2 linked regions of the Mus musculus genome follow. The protein of the gene in region 2 interacts with the protein of the main gene of each other region in a pairwise test. Links are inferred from orthologs where the notes say so. Each region holds a gene or a part of one and is shown on either strand. Other genes may lie near its edges.

The links. The genes of interacting proteins can lie anywhere in the genome.
Region 1: the proteins of Mipol1 (region 2) and Ssxb9 interact in binary tests that used the Homo sapiens proteins (3 or more experiments, as listed by UniProt). The two-hybrid records come from large-scale screens. The link is inferred for Mus musculus from reciprocal best matches to the Homo sapiens genes MIPOL1 and SSX3.

Annotation. Positions count from the first base shown.
Region 1 is NC_000086.7:8,368,652-8,379,025, reverse strand, and holds the end of Ssxb9 (synovial sarcoma, X member B, breakpoint 9), read right to left. Parts: intron 9,485-10,374; 5' UTR 9,472-9,484; coding exon 9,358-9,471; intron 8,905-9,357; coding exon 8,790-8,904; intron 8,491-8,789; coding exon 8,401-8,490; intron 7,926-8,400; coding exon 7,876-7,925; intron 7,264-7,875; coding exon 7,188-7,263; intron 4,337-7,187; coding exon 4,224-4,336; 3' UTR 4,220-4,223; exon of another isoform or gene 4,193-4,219; intron 3,816-4,192; 3' UTR 3,638-3,815; downstream 1-3,637. UniProt on the Homo sapiens protein: Could act as a modulator of transcription.
Region 2 is NC_000078.6:57,450,733-57,461,650, forward strand, and holds the end of Mipol1 (mirror-image polydactyly gene 1 protein homolog), read left to right. Parts: intron 1-6,220; coding exon 6,221-6,455; 3' UTR 6,456-6,509; downstream 6,510-10,918.

The sequences.
Region 1 (10,374 bases), on a different chromosome or scaffold from region 2:
CACAGTCAGCTAATGGATGGATCACAGGGCTCCCAATGGAGGAGCTAGAGAAAGTACCCAAGGAGCTAAAGGACTAAGATTCTTTTTTTTTTTTTTTTCCAGAGCTGAGGACCGAACCCAGGACCTTGTGCTTGCTAGGCAAGCACTCTACCACTGAGCTAAATCCCCAACCCCCCCAAGGAGCTAAAGGGATCTGCAACCCTATAAGTGGAACAACATTATGAACTAACCAGTACCCCGGAGCTCTTGACTCTAGCTGCATATGTATCAAAAGATGGCCTAATCGGCCATCACTGGAAAGAGAGGCCCATTGGACACTCAAACTTTATATGTCCCAGTACAGGGGAACACCAGGACCAAAAAGGCTGAGTGAGTGGGTAGGGGAGTGGGGGTGGGTGGGTATGGGGGACTCTTGGTATAGCATTGGAAATGTAAATGAGCTAAATACCTAATAAAAAATGGGGAAAAAAAGAATCTATTTCTTATCCGGGCGTGGTGGCGCACGCCTTTAATCCCAGCACTTGGGAGGCAGAGGCAGGTGGATTTCTGAGTTCGAGGCCAGCCTGGTCTACAAAGTGAGTTCCAGGACAGCCATAGCTATACAGAGAAACCCTGCCTCGAAAAAAAAAAAGAATCTATTTCTTTGATGTTTTTAAGGAAGCATATAACGTAATGAGTTTCATGATGACATATTCCCATACCCATTCTCACCCCTATCCCCATCTTGCTAGTTTCCTTCTTTCTCCCTGATTGTCCCTGTTACTACTTTCCTGGTCTCTGTACACAAAGTGACTCTTTCTACCTCTTTAAGGATTCCACCTCCCATTTATGATACCCTTTCCAATTTCATGCCCCACCCAATACAAAATTACACAAGACACAAATTTAACCATGGTTACTCATTTGAAGTTAACCTTGAACCGTCTCTTTCTGCATTTGGTTTGTTTTGTTGAACACATCCATTTATCAGCGCCTCTGAAACCTCTCTGCATCCTCACATAGTGGTGAAGCAGAGGCCTCTTGTCTCTTCCCTCTCTATAGTTCTGTTCATCAGAGCCATATGCATAGGAACATACATTACCTCCATCATCCCTAGGAGAGTTACATGGGACATTATGGCTCCTACATATGAGTGCTATGTGAAATGGGCATATGACATAGATTACATCATAGCATCGACAATGGAACACTAATAATAATTCTAAACCTGACTGAAACATTTATCATACCAACACAGTTTATGTGTCCCTTGCCTGCAGTGGTCCAGGACCCTAGGTCTCATTTGTACTATCTATGTCCTTCAGATATAAGCCTTAATTCTTCTATTCCGTAAGCTCTTCTACCTTTGCTGCCATTCAGCTCTGACTTTGGACTTGGCTCTAGTTCCACATATGTGAGAACTCCCTTAGGCTCTGTTAAGTATCTACATTATCATCTATTCCTGTTCATATAAAATCCTAAATTTCTGCCGGTGTAACTTATTTTTCTAGAGTGATACGTTGTCCCCTAGGCCTGTTGTATATGTTAGTCAGTCTTCACTAGAAACCATATCCTAGGCTACAGAGAAGTATCTTTTAAACAATTATTATTTATCTCAATGTATATGAAGACACTGTTGTTGTCTTCATACACACCAGGAGAGGGCATCAGGTCCCATTACAGATGGTTGTGAGCCAACATGTGGTGGCTGGGATTTGAACTCAGGACCTCTGGAAGAGCAGTCAGCACTTTAACCACTAAGCCATCTCTCCAGCCCCCAAGGAGTATTAGTTATTGTGAGATTGGTGATTACTGCTTACAACACTTTCCTTATGATGACCCTACTGTCTTCCTTACCTTGTTGCTTCCTAAATCCTGTTCTAGGGACCTACCTAGGTCAATGTTAATCTCACTTGGAATGTATTCAATCACACTATGTGCAGTAGTCTACTCTTGTAAGCCCAGTACTCAAGAGGGTGGGTGGGGCACAAATACCACAATTGGGCTATAAAGTGAGTTCCAGTATAGCCTGGGATGCATAATGGAACATATATCAGTGAACAAAAATAAAGCGAAAGATATTGATTATAGCCCAAGAGGAGCTCTGATCCTGATGACTTGGAAGTTGACAGAGGACAACAGCAAATTTGATGCCAGCCTGGGTGATTTAGTGAAACCTCATCAGAAAATGACACAAACAACTGAGTATGTGTGTTAATTTTGATAGTCTTGGTGTTTCAGAGAAGTCTAGGACATAGTAGGAAATGTTCCACTTTTCCTCTGTGTGAAGACATTTTTGAAAGTAATTATGTTTTGGGATCTCTCATCTAATTCCCAACAAATCTATTGGCGATGTTACATGATCTTGGTAGTTACATGGGAGACAAGGATGATTGAGGAATTATCTCATTAGAACCATGTACTTGAGTCTGTTTCCTACCTTGAGCCTTTCCTATATTCCTTTTTGGCCACCCTAATCCAAGATGAAGGGAAGAACAGCCTCCCTTCATACACTGCATGTATGGAAAAAGTGTCTATCAACTGAGCCCACAGAAAGTGTAAGCCCAGAGAAATCGTTCTGCATTGACTTTCTTTCAGGATTCTGTCAACAATGAAGCAATAAAAACTAGTCCTGTGCAGCTCAGTGGTGAGCCCTCGCAATAATGCAGGAGGGTCTGGGTTCAATCCCTAGAATCAGACACTACACTTACTCCCCAAAAGTTAAAACTAGAGGGTTAAAAAAAATAACTTTTGATCTCCATAGACATGAGCATCTGTCTACATTGAGCCTCAGGCTCTTTGGTAGATGAAGGTCCTAAGTGTGGTCAAGCAAAGCCAGATTTTACCACATCACAGAATTTGGATTTGTCACCTTTGTGCAAACAGGGAAGGAAATGTATCCTAGCCAAACAATGAAACGAGATAGTTGTAATTAGAAATATTTCTAGTGTAGCATGGCAGGTAACAGGTGTCCCTAGTAATGACTTGTATATGTGTGTGTGTGCAAGACAGAGAAACATGTTATCATAGACAAATAGAAGGCTGCTTGGCAGTCCTAGGGAAGGAGAGGGCAGTGTGCTTCAGTGCAATGATAGCTGACACACGATTCCTCATAGGAGTAAAGGGCAGGCAGCCAGCAATATGCATTAGGTATATGCCTTGCTAAGTGCAATGTTGATAGGCTTATTATATTTCCCATTGTTTATTGAGTTATTTTGTGCTTGTATGCTTGGATATTGTGTATGTGTGTACACGCACAAATGCGTTCAGTTGTGAATAGCAATGGACACTGTGAGGGAGCCAGTTCTCTGTGTCAACCATGTAGGTCTTTAAGATTGAACTCAAGTCTGACAGCAGGATCCTTTATCACTGAGCCATTTAGCCTGCTTGAAACATTGGTATTCTGCCAGAGTGGCTGTCACACAGTAAGTCAATACTAACAGAGTTCTTAGCATGTACTACCCACAGTGCTGACCAGATGCTTGCCGTACACAGAGATCTATGCTTCAAGAGTACCTGGCACAGAAAAAGCAGTTCTATGGGGCTCAACACAGTGACAATAACAATAGGAAATGTTTGGCATGACGGACAAAGACTCCTAACAATGTTTGGCACATCCTACAAAATTGCTAAGAGAACAAACACTTGACACATGCTTAACTCAGAATTCTAGTAGACTTTTATAAATAAATAAATATAGGTATAAATGTATATAATCAATAAATATATAAATAAATGTATGTATCTATACTGCTGATATTTAGTCTTTCAAAGCTGGAGCTGTAATGTTGAATTGCCACTCCATCCTTCTTCCACCGTGGCCTTATTTCAACTGTCTGTGGATGAGACAAGAAAGAGAAGGAAGAGAAATGCGAGGGAGTTGCCACCACCTACTCAGCGCTCTGTTTCCACCTGTCCTTCAGAGCCTGCATGCTCTCCTTCTGCCCAGCTTCAGAGCTCTACCCCACAAGCACACCCTCTTCTAGAGCATGGGCCTCCCTCACCAGAGAAAGAAATGGCCTACACTTTGAGTGATAACCTGGGATTTAAAAGCCCATAGCATCCTGGCTAGGGAAGGTCTCGAAACTACCCAGCACTGCAGTAAAGGAAGCATGACTTATGACATCTGGTTCAGTCTTGCACCCCAAAGGACTAGAAGTGGATGATTGGGTAGGGTCTAATACCGTATGGGAAACGTGTGTGTTCTGGGTGTTGTGAGATGTGTCAGAGGACCACTTACCAGTTCAGTAATCATCATCTTCTTCCTCTTCAGGATCACTAATCTCTTCATATATCACTCGATACTTCCTCTCTCGCAGCCGGTGGCTCCAAACATTGACCCGAATGCCACTAGTTTCTAAAATGTGGAGAGGTTAGTGCATGAGTGCAAGGCTTTTCTCATCAGAAAAGAACAGGGCTTGGCCCTCCCATGAGCCTCTGGGCCTTTACTGCTGGCTCATGAGACTGAGATGTCAGCCCTACAGCAATACAGACCAAAGGCTAGTTTGGGTTATACCGTCCAGTGTACTCTCTTGTCCCCATCAGGATCCCAACCCCCGATATAGAATTCCTATTTTATCCTCCATTAGGAGGAGGGTCCAGTGACCATTCACTTATATTGTATAGATTTCAGGGTTAGCTTCAGAGCATGTAGAAAACTTGTCCAGTGTCACACGGCTTTCAGAAGGACAAGTCAAATTATGATTATAGAGGCCCATTGTAACATCTGAACTGGTGCTGGGGGGAGTGCCTCACCCAGAAAGACCAAACACCTCGAACAATCTAGGGAAACCAGAGTATTGTTTCCCCTGTGCTTTTTTCTCATCCAACGCCACCCTGTTGTCTGTCCCCAAAGCATGGGATTTCTCTTTGTTGTGCTGGTGTCTCTGAGCCTGCTGTTCCTGGAACACATGTTGGGTTATTCCTCCCGTGCTACCTTCTTCAGCGTTTTTTAAACACTGAAGCACTTATTCAGGTAGTCAGTAGTATGTTTGTATTGTATTAGAGGTTAAGTGTCTTTTCTTGTATTTTTCTAAAGGTTCTATTAACATATATTAGTTATATATGTTGTTCCACTTCATTATTATATTTTATATGCATATATAATGTATTTTAATCATGTGTGTGCCTAATTCCTCGCTTGAGTCACACTGACACCCTTCCTCCCTACCTCTAGATTCCCTTTTATTGCCTCTTGGTTGGTATCAGTGAGACCCAGTGAGTTGAGTTCGGCTTACTTATATGTGCATTGGGCCTCATTGGCCTTTTTCCTAGCACCTGGCAACTGCCATCATATCCTCTGAGAGGGGCAGAAGCTGGTGAGCCCCTCCTTCCATGGCAGAATGTTATTGGCTTGATCTTTTGCAGGTGATTTTAAAGAATTTTTCTTAATGCATTAATCACACTTGAAAAAGTATTTCACTTTTTGTAACTAAATAAAAAAAGAACACATGTGTTCAAATGGCAAAGAAATGTCCTAAGTAAACCTAGTTCCAGAGCTACAATGTTTGCCTTTATATTGTTAAAACACTGTCATTTGCACAACCAGAAGAGATATAATTAAGAGTAAGGAACAAATATTAGGCGAAGAAAAGCGCTGGAAGAAGCCACAGGCTCTGGGAGAGGCAGGAATATGAAATACATGGCTGCACACAGAAGCTGGTGGTATACTGCGTGCACAGTATGTAAAGCGTGAACAGAATGAAGGAGATAGCACTGCATGCACCTTGGTGCCACGTCCAGATGAACGCACCATGGTGGCATGAGGTAATGAACACACAATGGTAGTGAGTGCAAATGAATGCACCGTGGTGGCTTGTGCAGGTGAACGCACCATGCTGGCATGTCCAGGTGAATGCACTGTGGTGGTTTGTGCATGTAAATGCCCCGTGGTGACGTGTGCAGGTGAATGCAGCAGTGGACAGGATAGAAAGAAAGGAGACAGTGATGTAGGTATTAAAGAACCTCGTGCCAGAGGTAGTATCTCATGTGATGCTGGTGAGAGCACTTCAGGTGGAACTGGGCAAGCTGGTGCCTACACCTTTTCTGTTGATATGCCAAGATGTGCCATTAGTCACTAATCCTCAGCTACCTTTCATTCACCTTCCTGAGTCATGTATGAGGGAGTATATGTACAACCAAAAGAAGTCAGAAACTGAATGTAAAGCCTTTTATTGTATGTTTACATTTGTATTTCTCTGTATGTCTCTGTGTATGTGGAAGATGTATGTGGGTATACCTGTGGAGGAAACACTGTGTCAGATAATCTGGAACTAGAGTTTCAGATAATAGTAAGCACCTACATATGCACTATCAGGATTCCTCCCTTCACACAGTCAGTCCTTTCCTGGGGCCTCACTGGTCACTAACCTCAGCTCCCAGAATTCTCTCTACACTACACTGGACCCTGCAGCTGTCGAAACCCCCATTCCATAGTCAGGTGCCTCCTGGGGTCCTCTAACTTGGGACTGTGGGGCAGAAAGTTTTCAGGTATATACATGTCCTGAACTTGATCACAGTGGAAGGGGTCTACTATGAAAGCCCTGTCATTTGTAGCCAGAAGAGTGTATGGGCCCTTCACAGAGCCTAGGCCAGCTGGAGATCCCTATGTGGAAAGTGAGTGTCAGGATGAAAGAATGTGCAAGCTCTGTGAGAGAATACTGACAGGAGCATCACCTAGGCTTCAGAAACTAAGGAAGACTGGACTATACTTCAGTGAGTTGGGCTACAGATTAGCAAGCTAGTGGACCTGCTCTTTGGGTCAATAATCTAGCACAGTTGAGGCAATCCTCATTATCAGTTCTCTAAGTACTAAAATACTCTAATTGAAGAAACACGGGTCCTGTATTGTAACTCTGACCAAGAACCTGTAGTTATACAGGACCCCTGGGAAACCTGTTACTGTGATTATGATAAATGAATGGCCCCTGGTAGGGCAACCATACTCCACTAGATGGTTCTACATCCCACAGTATGTAGATAGCACAAATTGGCCTTGAGTTTTTTATTTATAAAAAAATTAAAATAAAAACGGTATGGATGTTGGGTGAAAAACAGCTGGGAAAGATGTTTTATATTCATTGGATGAAAGGGTGGGGTATGTGTGAATATGATTAAAATAAATGATATAAAATCCTCAAAGAATTAAATAAATACCAAATTGACAAACAATATAATATGTTAAGGATAGGAAATAGATTGCAGCCAACCTGCCAAGTTGGAATCATTCTTTACAGAGGCAAGGCTTCCTTCTACATTATGAATACTTATTGTCACTGATGTCAGCTATAAAAGAGAATCAGAGTAAAGACATTTTGTCAAATAGTAATCTATAGGGAGTGTTTCTGCTACTTGATAAAGGGTGTTCTAATTTCCTGGATAATATTTAGAACAGGGCCTGGCAAATAAATAAAATCATCACATGTCAAAATTAACCAGACCTGAAGATTCAATGACTCTAAATATATAGATTAACTATATATAACTCTATGAAAGATACAGTAAAAATTGGCATTTGAAACAGCATGTGAAGCAACACATTAAAATTTACACTTTAAGTATCAAACATATATTTATACACTTATCCACCACCAAGAAGAAAACTGTGTCCTCAACAATGTGGAAAGGAAAAAAGGAAAAAAAAAGAGTTGGCTGGCGAGATAGCTCAGTGGTAAAGGGCACTGGCTGCTCTTCCGGAGGTCCTGAGTTCAAATCCCAGCAACCAAATGGTGGCTCACAACCATCTGTAATGAGATCTGATGCCCTCTTCTGGGCTGTCTGAAGACAGTTACAGTGTGCTTACATATAATAATAAATAGGTCTTTTAAAAAAAAACCAATGTGGACATGAACTGAGGGACAAACAGGGTGCATTCCTAAGGAAAGAGGTGATACTTGCCTTCATTCGTTTTCTCGGTGTCACACCAAAAGATCCTTCAAAGCATTCATCTACAGATAGTAACAAGTCAGAAGGTTTTGTTTGTTAGTAAATATTCCAAAGGCTCAGAATCTTGCTGATTTAGGGAAGGCTAGAGTGGAGAGTGGGCCCATTTTTGGAGGAGGAGCTAGTGGAGCCTGGCTCTCTTTCATCTGACCAATGACAGGTGCCCTTTTAGAAGTCTCCTTCTGATTGGATAGGAAGTGTCAGCTAAGCCTCATCACTGCCTCATCCCCTCACAAGATGGTAGGACACAGGATATTCTGACTCTCTTTGAAGGTGTTACACATTGGCCATTTACTTATTATCCAGTATAATGTACACAATAATGTTTTAGAATTGTGCATGACAGGATCTTCTACATAATCCTCAGAGTGAGCTCTGTTCCACACAACCCTGATCTGAACAAGAAAAGAGCTGCCTATCACTTTAGCATGCATCCTGACTGAGAAGGTGAACTTTCATAGCCCCTCCCTGATCACTCACCATCACTGTCATGATCTTCAATGCCTTCGACCAGGGATTGCTTGTCCTGCTCCTTGCCACGCATGAAAACTGGTTGGTTCACGGTGACCCCTAAGAGGAAGCAGAGTGTTTGTTCTTTAACAGGCAGCACAACGAGGGGAAATGGTGCTAGAAACTGGGCTACAGCCCAGATCTTAAGGCCCATAAGAGGCCAGCACTCTATTGCCTATGATCTATGCTGTCAGCTCTGCAAAGGGTGGAAAAGAGCAGCTGCAGGCTCGACAAGCACCTTGACATTTCTCAGGAAAGAAAGGTATCATGGGAGAGGGCCCTGCTACAGTTTGAGAAGATGTGGCATAGCAAACAAACTGGGAACCACCAGACTGGTCTGAACCCAGATTTCATCTTACCTAGGTCAGTCATTCTGATGTAGTTTCTTTTCATGTACACGTAGGCACTTTTCTGCCATTGAGTCAGCTTTCCCCACTCTTCATCAGAGAAGTATGTAGAAATATCCTGGAAGGCCTGGAAAAGAAGGGAATGAAAACTCTGGAAACTGTTCTGCTGGATGTGTGTACCATTCATCCCAGAATGCCCTCTGTGGTGGAGGACCTTTGTGATCCACCAGAGAATCAACACAATCAGTCCTGGGAAATAAGAGGGTTAAGGGAGAGACAGCCTTTTCCACAGCCACTAGAAATTCTCAATGCTGCTCATGTGTTCTCCTCCCCCACTTACAAGGGACTGAGTGTCACCAAATGAATGTAGTACTACGTCACTAATCTGAAGTCCTAATGAAGGCTGTAGAAGGACTCATGGACCATTTGTGCATGGAGAGACATCCTGAGACTTATGGAGGACCAGTGGAGACTGTAGTCCTTGTCCCAAGTGCCTCTGATTTCCACCTTCTGGTAAGTCATTCTACAGTGGCCCTTGGTCACTCAGCTGCTTCTGTCCACCCCACTATGGCCCCCTCACCTTGCAGATATTCTTTGGTTCATAAAGCACTTCCATGGGGACCTTTTCACAGGAACTCACTGTTTCCATGTCAGTGTGATTTTGAAAAGACACAATCTTATCTTCTTCAAGCATAAAACCAAATGTCCTGTGAACGAAGGGGTTGCACATACACAGTAAGAGTCAGTAGCTGATATTTCTTGTACACCGTTTCACCCTGAGATCATCTATCCTTGACTAGGTCTATGGGAGAGTTGGTGGTTAGGAATCAATTAGATTCTATGAACATGCATAAACATGTATGAAGGTATCCTGAGTCTTTGAGAGTGAGAGTCTGTCCTGATTAGTTGCCCTGAAGTGTTCATTGAGATTAAAGGAAATAGAAACTTATTGAATGGGGCAAGCACATATTCTCACTCAGGCAAGGAAAGTGAAAACTGATTTCATAGAAGATATGAAAGCAGCAGTTGTCCCTAGAAGATGGGTGGTGAGGAGTTCAGAAGAAGAAGGTACACCAAGCACCAAATACAAGCAGAGATTAGGAATAGCTCCTAGTGTTTTACAAGACCCATTAGTGACTAGTTTGTTGTTACCTAGAGTGAATTTGTTTTTGGAAGAAAAGCCAGAGTTCCCTTCTTATGCCTGTAACACAGGGTAGTTGGGAGGCTGAGGTAGAAGGGTCATATGTTCAATGCCTGTCTGAGTAACTATAAAGAATGATCTAGGCCAGTCTGGGTAATATATAATTAAATCCTGTCTCAAAGACTCAATCAGGATTTAAATTGTAGCTTAGTAGTAGGATTCTTATGTAACATGTGAGTGGCCCTTACATTAATTCCCTAGTTTTGCCAAAAAAGAAAATAGTAGAAGAGAGACGTCATAAAGCTTCACTCATGTGGAAATGAATAGGAAAACAGAGAAATATGATGAATTAACCATATTTGATAAGCAGACACACGTGTGACTTAAACCATCATACTTTTACTATATGTTGCCTCCCATGATCCTTTCCTGAAGTCTCTTCCAGCTCTGGGTGAT
Region 2 (10,918 bases):
ACAAGTACCTCAGCGGATCCCAAGGGTGACTTTAAAATTGAGTTTGACAAGAAGGAAGCAGACAAGGTGAGGAGAACATATACCGCATGGAAATGCATGTCATTGTGTGGGCATAGGCCCGATTGTACACAAATGCTTTATGCGGAAGCAGTACACAGTCGGGATCCAGGAAAATCTTAGCACTGTGGACAGGAGACATCCCGGAAATATCGAAACAGAGAGAAAAAGCATTACAGAAAGGAGATCTAAGCCAGGTTCAGTCGCACATGACTATAAACCCAGGTCTGAGAGGACTATAGCAAGTTCTAGGCCAGCCTAAAACACAGCAAGTATTTGAATCACTCCCACTCACACACACACACACACACACACACACACAGTCCGTTACGTGCCTCTTACTGGAGAAGTGCCCACCGAGAAACATTCTCCACCTTGACCCTCGGCTGTATTTAATACAGTGATCAGGAGATGAGTCAAAATCTTAGAGATTAAAATGTGAGGATGTGAAGTAGTTCTGTGATACTCTTCTCCTTGCTATGAGGAAGCACCTCAGAGGAGCCACTGAAGAGAATAAGGCTCATCTGAACTGTCCACTGTCAAGATAGGTCTTCCCACCTCTGTTCAATTTTCCTTAAAAAAAAAAAAAAAAAACCTTTACAGACAAACCCAGGAATTCTAAATCCTGAGAAGTTGACAGTTGAGATTAACTATTACTGTAACTTAGTAATGTTTTAAAGTCTCATTTTTTTTTAATATTTGAGAACATTAAATCACTAGGGTTATATAATTTCAAAACTGAAACGTGATTTGAAATTCTGTTTATCGTATCTCATTACCTTCATAGCGAGCAGGAAATAGTTACAATTCTGTATGACATTGGTCGCGAGCTTTGGATTTCTGTAATTTCATGACTCTTCTGGTTTCCTGTCAGTTCTTCTTCCTATAGCTTAGTTTATTCCCATGGCTCATTAAGTTGTGCTGCTTCTGCCATGGTGACAAATGAATCTAGAAGTAAATCATTTTAAAGGAGAGTGTATGCAATAGGATTCCCCAAGGAGAGCTAAACAGTGGAGTCCTGGTGTCCGTGTAGAGTAGGGCACTATGAAACAAGAAGGCAGTGTCTCTCGGTGTTTGCCAACGTCCATATGCTGAGAGCGTAGGCTCCACACTTTACTCTCTACTCTCCCTATTGTGGGCTCATATAGGAAAATTTCCTTACAAGTATAAACATTTTAACTTTTAAAGTTCATAATGAATATGTAGTTCCCATAAAATAAAATAGACCTTACAGTTAATATTTACCTAAAATTCACTATACAGTTAGTAATGGAATATTAGTATATGGTCAGTGGGATGTAAACTACAAAGTAAGGGGAAAGCACATTCATTAAGTTATGAAGAGTACATGAGTAGGGTTATGAGACACACTCGCAGAGAAAACATCAAAATTTAAATTGTAACTTCCCCTTAAGCCCTATGACCTGTCTAGTGTGGGTTTTGTTTGGTTGGTTGGTTTTGGTTTTGTTGTTGTTTTCTCGAGACAGAGTTTCTCTGTGTAGCCCTGACTGTCCTGGAACTCACTCTGTAGACCAGGCTAGCCTCAAACTCAGAAATCTGCCTGCCTCTGCCTCCCGAGTGCTGGGATTAAGCTACTGTGGGCTTTTTAAATTAAGACTTATTTATTATGGAGTGCTCTCCTGCATATACATTTGCAGGCCAGAAGAGGGCATCAGAACTCATTACAGATGGTTGTGAACCAGCATGTGGTTGCCGGGAGTCGAACTCAGGACCTCTGGAAGAGCAACTGAGGCTCTTAACCACTGAGCCATCTCTCAGCCCTGTCATGGGCTTTTGAGTGAATTTATAATACCAACACCAGGTGTGGATTCCTTCCTGTGAAGCAATTCTCTACTCCAGTCAGAGACCTATTACTTGCCTTCATAAGATTTGTGCCATTATTGCACAAGTGTGCACATCTTGCCTGGCAAGTTGATAGTGCCATTCATAGGGCTCACAGCTAGGTCCACTGACACCTCCCTTCTTTCTTCCTCAGCTGACCACACAGGACCTTCCTACACTGTAAAAGCTTTCTAGCAAGGACAATTCTTCTAGCTTAGTTCTAGCATCATTTTTCTATATCATACCACCACAGTAGGTGGTATATTCATCTATAAAGTTGGTATATTCTTATCTTGTAGTCATGGTAGGCAAACAAAAAAATGGCAAGAGCCATATATAATTATAAGAGAGTAGCTTTCCCGTGGATTTTTCATATAGCCTTCCTTTTCATTAACCTGGCGCCTCCTGTTTCCTACCCTGCCACCTCCTCCCTGTGTAAACCTCTCTATCCCCAGTATTACATCCTCTACATTCATAACACCTGTGCTTAACGTCCTCTCTCCCTTAAAGTGATGGTTTGTATATGCTTGGCCCAGGGAGTGGCCCTATTGGGAGGTGTGGAATTGATGGAGTAGGTGTGTCACTGTGGGTATGGGCTTAAGACCCTCTTCCTAGTGGCCTGGAAGCCAGTCTTTCACTAGCAGCCTTCAGATGAAGATGTAGAACTCTCAGCTCCTTCTGCACCATGCCTGCCTGGATGCTGCCATGTTCCCGCCTTGATGATATTAAACTGAACCTCTGAACCTGTAAGCCAGCCCCAATTAAATGTTCTTTATAAAACTTGCTCTCATCATGTTGTCTGTTCACAGCAGTAAAACCCGAACACAGTATCTTTCTCCCAATAGCTTCTTTCATAGACTACTGGTGTCTGTAGGAACGCTTTATGTTGAAAACACAAAATGAGAGATTCAAACAGAGGGTCACATACAGTATTATTTATTCCTGTGCCTGGGTTACCTCACTTAGTATAATTTTTTTTCCAATTTCATCCACTTACCTGTCAATCTCATCCATTGTGTATATGTACCACATTTTTCATTATCCACTCATCAATTGATGAGCATCTTGACTCATTCCATTTCCTAGTTATTGTAAATACAGTAGCAATAAGTATGGATGAACAGGTATTTCAGTAGTAGGCTATAAATTTTTGGGGCGGTACACCCACTCAGAGGAGAAGGGGTATGGGAATAGGGAGAGGACTGTGGGAAGGGGTGACCGTGAAATGGACAGTGAGTGGGATGTAAAGTGAATAAGAAAAATATAATACAATAAACTTTTAAAAAATAATTGGGGTGGGGAATATGTCCAACAGAGGAATAATCCTGTGGTAGTTTCCACAAATTTCCATAGTGGCTTCATGAGTCTTGTAATCACACTAATAATGAATTTAGTTCTATTGTTTAGCTACACTGACATATGCTCAAACTGCCTTCTAAATTGTGTGTGTTTGTTTGTGCGCATGTGTGTGTGCTTATACACAAAGATAACTACAACCTTTATCAGAGATACTCTTTCCAGTGAATTGTGGTGCTTACAGAGACTTAGGGCTACACAAGTACAGGAATAGGTGTCAGCTGAGTGTTCAGCCCTACACAAGGCATTTAATATCATCCCCTCCTAGGTTCAGGGGGCATTGCAAGAGAGGAGAGAGAACAAATGTAAAGGCCAGAGAAAAGGGCTGCAAAATGCTCTAATGCCAAAGGCCAAATTCTGAATACTACAGGGCCTTTATAATTACAACCTCTCGACAAACACAGGTGACCACTCCAAATCTGCACAAGGACTGCTGATGGCCACTCACTCTGAACTGTCTCCTACTGATAGAGAGGAAGAGAGAAGTCTTTGCCTTCCATTGTATACCCACAGCAGATTCCACCAGGTGGCCCTGATTAAACTAAGTGGATCACCAAACCAAACCAAATTCAAAGTCTTGCATCTGAGAAAGGGACTGGCAGGTGAAAATTAGGTTGATAAGAGAGGAAGATAAGAGAAGGTGCGGGGGTGGGGGGGGGGGAGAGTAACCAGAATACATTATATGTTGGATGTAGTTACCAAAGGACTAACAATAAACAATTTAAATTTGGAGAGTCTCAAAGGTTTGTGTGCAGAAGCAGAGTTTAGACTGAAATCTCCCCAGTGAGTAGGAGTTTGTCACAGAGGGAAAGTGGTGCAAATGCAGTGGGCAGGAAAAGCTTTCTGTTTAAGAAACTGGTTGAAGGTCGAAAAGCCAGTGAAGAGCTATGGCAAGCACGGAGTAAGTGTTCAAACACAGGGGCTAGGAGTGTGGCTGTGGGTTCAAATGCAGGCTCGGCTAGGGGGTACTGCTGGGGTGATGGGATTATTTAAATTCCCTGCCTCTCTCTGTTTCAGTTTCTTCACTCATAAAACAAAGACAGTGAATGAAACTATTCAAAAAGGTTGTTTGCAGGTTCAGTGAGTTAAAATATATAATTTGTTATTTTTAGGGATTTTTTTTTTCCCAGAGTGCATGAGATGCCCCTGCAGGGTGTTAAGTGATACCACTTAAAGGCAGTCCAGCCACTGGCCCAACTTGGGATCCATCTCAAGGGGAGGCTCCAAGGTCTCACTATTACTGATGCTATGGTGTGCTTACAGACAGGATCCTAGCATGGCTGTGCTCCCAGAGGCCCAACAAGTAGCAGACTGAGACAGAGCCAGATCCAATCAATGGACAGAAGCTGGGGACCCCTGTGGTTGAATTAGGGAAAGACTGGAAGAAGCTGAGGAGTCGGGCAACCCCATGGGAAAACCAGCTGTCTCCAGAGACCTGAGGCCCCAGGGAGTAGGGAGTTCTGGAAGTATGGGGGCGGGGGGGGGGGGGGAGTGGTGACATCCTCTTGAAGACAGGGGGGCAGAGGAATGGGATGAGGAACTGTGGGAGGGAGGACAAGGAGGGGGATAACAACTGGACTGTAAAAAAAATAAAAGTAATTTAAAAAAAAATCACTAATTCCTACTGTTTGGTACTGTAGACTGTAGCTGGATAACATCCTGATGGAAGGGGAATCTTTGGGAGACAACCTGAATAATGAGTAGCCTCTGTGCTGGGATGTAAAGGGAGTCACATATCTCTCTGCACTTCATTGTAATTTTACACGGGATAACCAACTGACCAGAGTTTAGCACCATTCTCTATTGTTGGGGATTAATTTAAATCCTGAAATGATTTCTTTTGATATGTTAACTGTCTTGGTTTCTATGCGATACCTACCCCATATTGAGGACACTGTAGAGGCTTTTCTGTAACTTGAAAAGAAGAAATAGATAATCACACTCATCTGAACAGTTTTAGATGAAGCATCAGGCTAGTATTAGGCCAGTACTGAAGTTCTCCAACTAGCTTTTTTGCGGCTTTAAGAATTATATTGCTTTCATTCATATTCTCAACTTGTGTTATATAGCTCAGTGGTTGCACTTCCAACACTTCTGGCGACATTTCCTTTGTATTCATATACCAGAATGATTTTATTTAATAAAAAAAGAACATCTCCTATGTGGATTTTAAATTTCCCTTATTAAATATTTATATTTTCAAAATGTCTTTATTTAATTGAGTGAGGTGCTTGGTGCCATTTCAAAATAACCTCAGGTGGTGGGTGTAATGACATATCAAAGATCTGACCTTTAGCATTTTAGGATTCTATTTGTCTGCATTTTCTTCTGCATTCATTTCGTCTTAATTTATATGCTCTTTCTCCATATCACTTAATGAGTAGATGTATTTATCATAAGGTTCATTAGCCATAAAGATAGGTATCTGGATGCACATCCTCTGACTGGTGACTTTACATCATTCATCCTTCCACTGTGGCAGGTGGAAGGGTCTGTGTGTGAGGCTGCTGGGTATTTGCACAAACCTCGTCCATTCTCACTTAGTACTTCGATAGGCCCTAGATCTCCTAGACCGATGTCCATTCTCCTCCCCTGTCTTTGCAGTCAGCTTATTATACTTTTATTTACCTAGAAATACTTTATTTTCCAGTTCTGTGCTATCCCTTTAAAAGAAAATTGAATGTAATATTTACACTGACATAATTAAATTAACATTTTACAGCATCTTTCTGTGTGCTTTGATAGCATAGATAATCAGTTGTCTGCATTGCTCCTGGCCTAGTAGCAGAGTTACAGAACAATGATCAATTATAATAATACGTTATAAAAGCTATTTACATTTGCCCATTTAGGTATTCTATATTGATTTTTAGAAGAGGGGTTTCACATGAAGATTTTTTTTATTAAACAAATCATTGAACTTTTAGCCTACATTATTTATATTTGTATTTTTACATTTTCTCAGCTTGCACAAATCATTATCTCAAGAAGAAAGCCTGAAGGATCAGTTTAACCATGCCCTTAGTACCTATGAAGAAGCCTTAAAAAACAGAGAGAGCGTTGTCTCCATCACTCAGCAACAGAATGAAGAACTGGCCACCCAACTTCAGCAGGCTCTCACTGAGCACTCTCACATGGAATTACAGCTTCAGTGTGCTGTGGAGGCCTCCCAGGCAGCCAACGAAAAGGTTCAGAAGTAAGTAACCGATCCAGCCCTGACCCTAAAGGCATGAAACGTTAGAGAAAAGAAAAGGAAAAAAAAAAAAAAAAAAAAAAACTTTCCTTGGGAAACCCAACAGTCCACATAGTTTTTCTTGTTTGTATACTTACTAATGCTCTCAGGAAAAAGTAGCCAAAATGAACTTTTTAAGCTGACATTTCACTTCCTTTTTCAATAGAAAAAATTATTTGCTTGGCCCTTATTGTTACCCTATGATTTGGGACAGGTTGTATATACTAAATGCCCCGGATCAGCTCGTGGATTCTGCGGTGCTTAAATCCTTCCCCAGTGTTATTTGCAAAGGGGAGGGGCAGTCAAGTAACCAGCAGCTGCTCTCACTGAGCCTCACTGTCAGGGCCCTGGAGAAGAGATCTCCTGTGACCTTGTTCACTGAGCCTCTAGCTGCACTCAACCCAGTACACAGAAATTAATTTTCTTGTGTTGTTCTTTAGAAGTATGCGATGCAGCTTTCAGAGTGCATAATTATATTTGTTTATTTTGACAGTTCTTTGCATTTTTATTAAAATTTAAACAAAGCTGCATAATCAGTCCGTCCTTACAACAGTGCACAGAATGTTAACAATTTCCCAAGCAAAGATGTCCGTTATTAATTTATGGAACTTGAACACTGTAGCAGCATTTTCTGAAGAAGTTTGTTATGGAATACGGCGTGTCGTCCTAACCTTCTTTTGTACGAGTAACAGCAGCACGGCAGCATTCACAAACTGTATCACCTCTAGTTGCCAACACAGCATCTTTATCTTTTCTCTTTCAGACTCTGAGTATTAGGTTGTATGCCCAAGGACCGTTACTCCCTTGACTTCCTAGGTGAAATCAGTCATCTCAGCCGTTTCCCCATCATCTCTGCAACTGTATTTAAATTGATAGACCAGACTCAGGGGAATCGAGGCAAAGGCATTTTGGAATAATTCAGGGGTTACACACTTTAATCTTTACTGCCATTGTACCTTGAAACTTTTGATTAAGTCCTGTTAATTATCTGTTTTAAGATTGGGTACAAATTCATTTGGAAACTACATCTGGTTATTTGCAATGTGCATTAACAAACTAAAAATGCTGTGATATATAAATTGTATTGTAAATCACAGCAACTTGGACAGTTGTGATTTACTCCTGTTTGTACCGTCTACAAATAATTTTAAATGTCAAAGTTTATATGTAAGTACTTCATTGCTATGTGACTAAAATTCCCTAAAATAAGGGTTTCTTGAGACCAGTTAGTTTTCAAAATGTTGGAGATGTCAATATTTATCTTGCCAGTTAGCATTATCATGTTTTAAAAGAAAGATCTTTCGTATCCCAGGGAGTGGAAAGATTGTTGTCTCGGGAAATTAGTAAATTGGGTAGTTTTAGCTATTAAGCAAACTTTTATCATCTTTATTTTGCACGTTTAACCACAAACAAAATCTTTTTAGTGGAATACTACCAATCTGGGGATCGGTTTAAGTACAACATGTCATTTATAAAAGTTAAGTGTTGAAATTGCTTCTCCACTCTTTCATTCTGGTTTCCAAGAAGACCCACGTGAGCTATTTCTTTTACGTCTTCTATTTGTTTTGTTAGCCACAAATTAGGTAGTAGTGTGCATCTTCATCGTGGTTATATGAACATCAGCCTGTGCATTCTCCGGAATTTTTAGGGAGATTATCCTCTGAAAAGACAATAAATAAAACTTGGTAAGATAGGCTAAGTATGCTCTATAGTGTCTGACTTTTCATTGTAGTAATTCTTTGAAAGTATGTAAATACTTTATAAAATCAAATGAGAGAGATCTCTTCTCTCTTCACAGCCAAATCTTGAGTAGATGATCAATAATAATCTTTAATTTTTTAATATCTACCTATTCCTCTGCTCTTTATTACATTGTTGGCAACTGGCTGAAACTGTTCTTTATAAGATTCAAAGTAATTTCCTAATTCCAAGGTCCATGGTACATATTAACCATGTTCTTATATTATAACTGAAAAATAATTATGATAAAAATAAAGATGTGCATATATGATTAATATAACATGATAATTTGAAAACTTAGGCTTTGGGTTACAATGCGTAGGTAGGTACTTGGAGTTTGTTTTGAAACTTCATGCTGATATTCACAGTGACATGCCTTCCTCACAAATGTAGGAACTCAATGAAATAGACATGCAAAGCTGTTGACCAATGATGCTTCATATTATTTCCTCCTGTTATCTTTCTCCCTACTGCACTGCCTGTCTCTTTCCTCAGAAGCGCTCTGCCTTTTCAAGACTAAATGCCTCTGCAAATGTTGACCTCCCTACTTAGAGCCTTCTGCCCTCCCTGCCAGCCTCCTGGAGAACATTGTTCATTCTATGAGAGTCAGTGCAGCACTGGGCATAGAAAAAAAATGGGGTCAGTGCTTAAGTCAAATAGTTTTGGATTTCAATACCTGCTTTCCTACTAATTGCCTAGGAAATTTGAGGCACATTTTTTTATCCCATAAGAAAAGTTCCTAGATCAGGCTAGACAGTAAATCTGGCTTTGCAGGCTGACTTCTTGTAAAGAATAACTTGTATAACATATAATTACTGAGTGTAAGACTATTAGAAATATTCTAAAACACTACATTATTAATAACATCATATCTGTCAATATAATATGACCAATTCAACTGCATCTTCTCTACAAAGCTGTCTTTATCTTCCTAGAAAGAAAAATATCTCTAGTCTCTTTATTATTATAGTATTTAGGGTTTTTAAAAGTACATTAGAAGATCTTGCTATCAACAATATGCCCCAGATATCATTATTGGTATATATGTATATGTTTATGTGTCTTTCTAGCTAGACTATATATTGTTTAAACATGTAAGTCCTAAAACTGTACACAATGCATCTTACCTACTGAGTACCAAATGAAGGTTTAAAACCTTAGAAATACATAAATATGGATATATGGCTATATGCTTATATAATATTATCTTAGGACTTATTAATATTAGTAAGCACTGCATTTACACAGTCAATTCTTAGATTATTTGTAGCATTTGAACTCTTTTTATCTTTAATATCATACTATTCCTTCCTGATGTCATTGGAACAGGATTGGATAACTCCATTTTCTTTTTCTGATGCTACTCCACCTGTTTCTACTCCTTTTGGGAAATATTTCTGCTTTAAACCTAAATAATGGTTTATTTAAAGATTAGCTCTATGAAATTCGCCAGAAACACATGTGTTTATATAACTTCAGCCACTGCCACCCACTCAGAAAACTTCCGAGTCAGTGTGGCAGTGCTCCCCTCCCCTCTGGAGGTCCACCCGTGTGCCCGGAACACTGTGTCCTCTTCTGCCAGTCAGGTCTTGCCCACTCTCCTTGGTTTCCCATGTCAGTTGCTGGACTTGAGCAACTTCAGCGCTGCCCCTGGTTTTCCGTTTTACCCTTTGCATTCCTGTTGGCTCCAGTTTCTACCACTGCCTAAGTCTCTCAATTCCCTCTACTCCGCCTTGATGAAGTCCACTCCTCCTCATTCCTTGATCCAGACCATGGCAATAGCCCCTCCCTTTCTGCCATCACAATGAGCTGCTCTAAAGCATACATAAGGTAATATTGTTTTCCTATTAAGAGTTCCTCAGGTATCCTTCTCTCCCAACAGGTTCAACCTCAAACAACTTAGCATGACATCTGAAGCCGGATGCAGGCCCTCCCTCCTTGTTCCACTGTCATTTCCTCCTGCGACAACACATTTTACATATGCTTCAGGGAGCTTCCTAAAATGAATGCCTTCTGCTGCTCTAGGTGAAACTTTGGTTACTCTCTGAAGTACAGCCTGCTTATTAAAATCCCTGTAGTAAAGCTATAGCTGGTATTTTATAGGAGTTCTCAAACGGCGCCTTTCATGCTGGACAGATGGCTCGGTGTTAAAGAGCATTGTTCATGTGGAAGACCTGGGTTCATTTCCCAGCACCCACGCCGCAGTTCAGAAGCACCTGTAACTCTAGCCTCTGCTGCGGCAGGTACACACTGTATACAGACACACACGGGCAAAACACTCACACACGTGCAATAAACCCTTACAAGTTGTGGTTTTTTCTATTTCATCATTATTTTCATTATTCAATCTTTAGTTTTGTTTTGTTGGGTTTTTTTTTTTTTTTGGGTTGTTTTGTTTTGTTTTTTGAGACAGGGTTTCTCTTAGCCCTGGCTGTCCTAGAACTTGCCTTGTAGATCAGGCTGACCTTGAATTTGGAGATCTGCCTGCTTCTGCCTCCCTAGTGCTGGGATTAAAGGTGTATAACCATTACCACCACCACCACCACCACCACCACCACCACCCCCGCCCCCGCCCCCAGCTATTTTTATCATTGTCTTTTAAATCATTCTTAATCTGTTCCTTTCAGTGTTACAATAGTTTTGAATTTTTGTTTTACGCCATAGTACCCTCTCTGAAATTTCCCAAGTCAC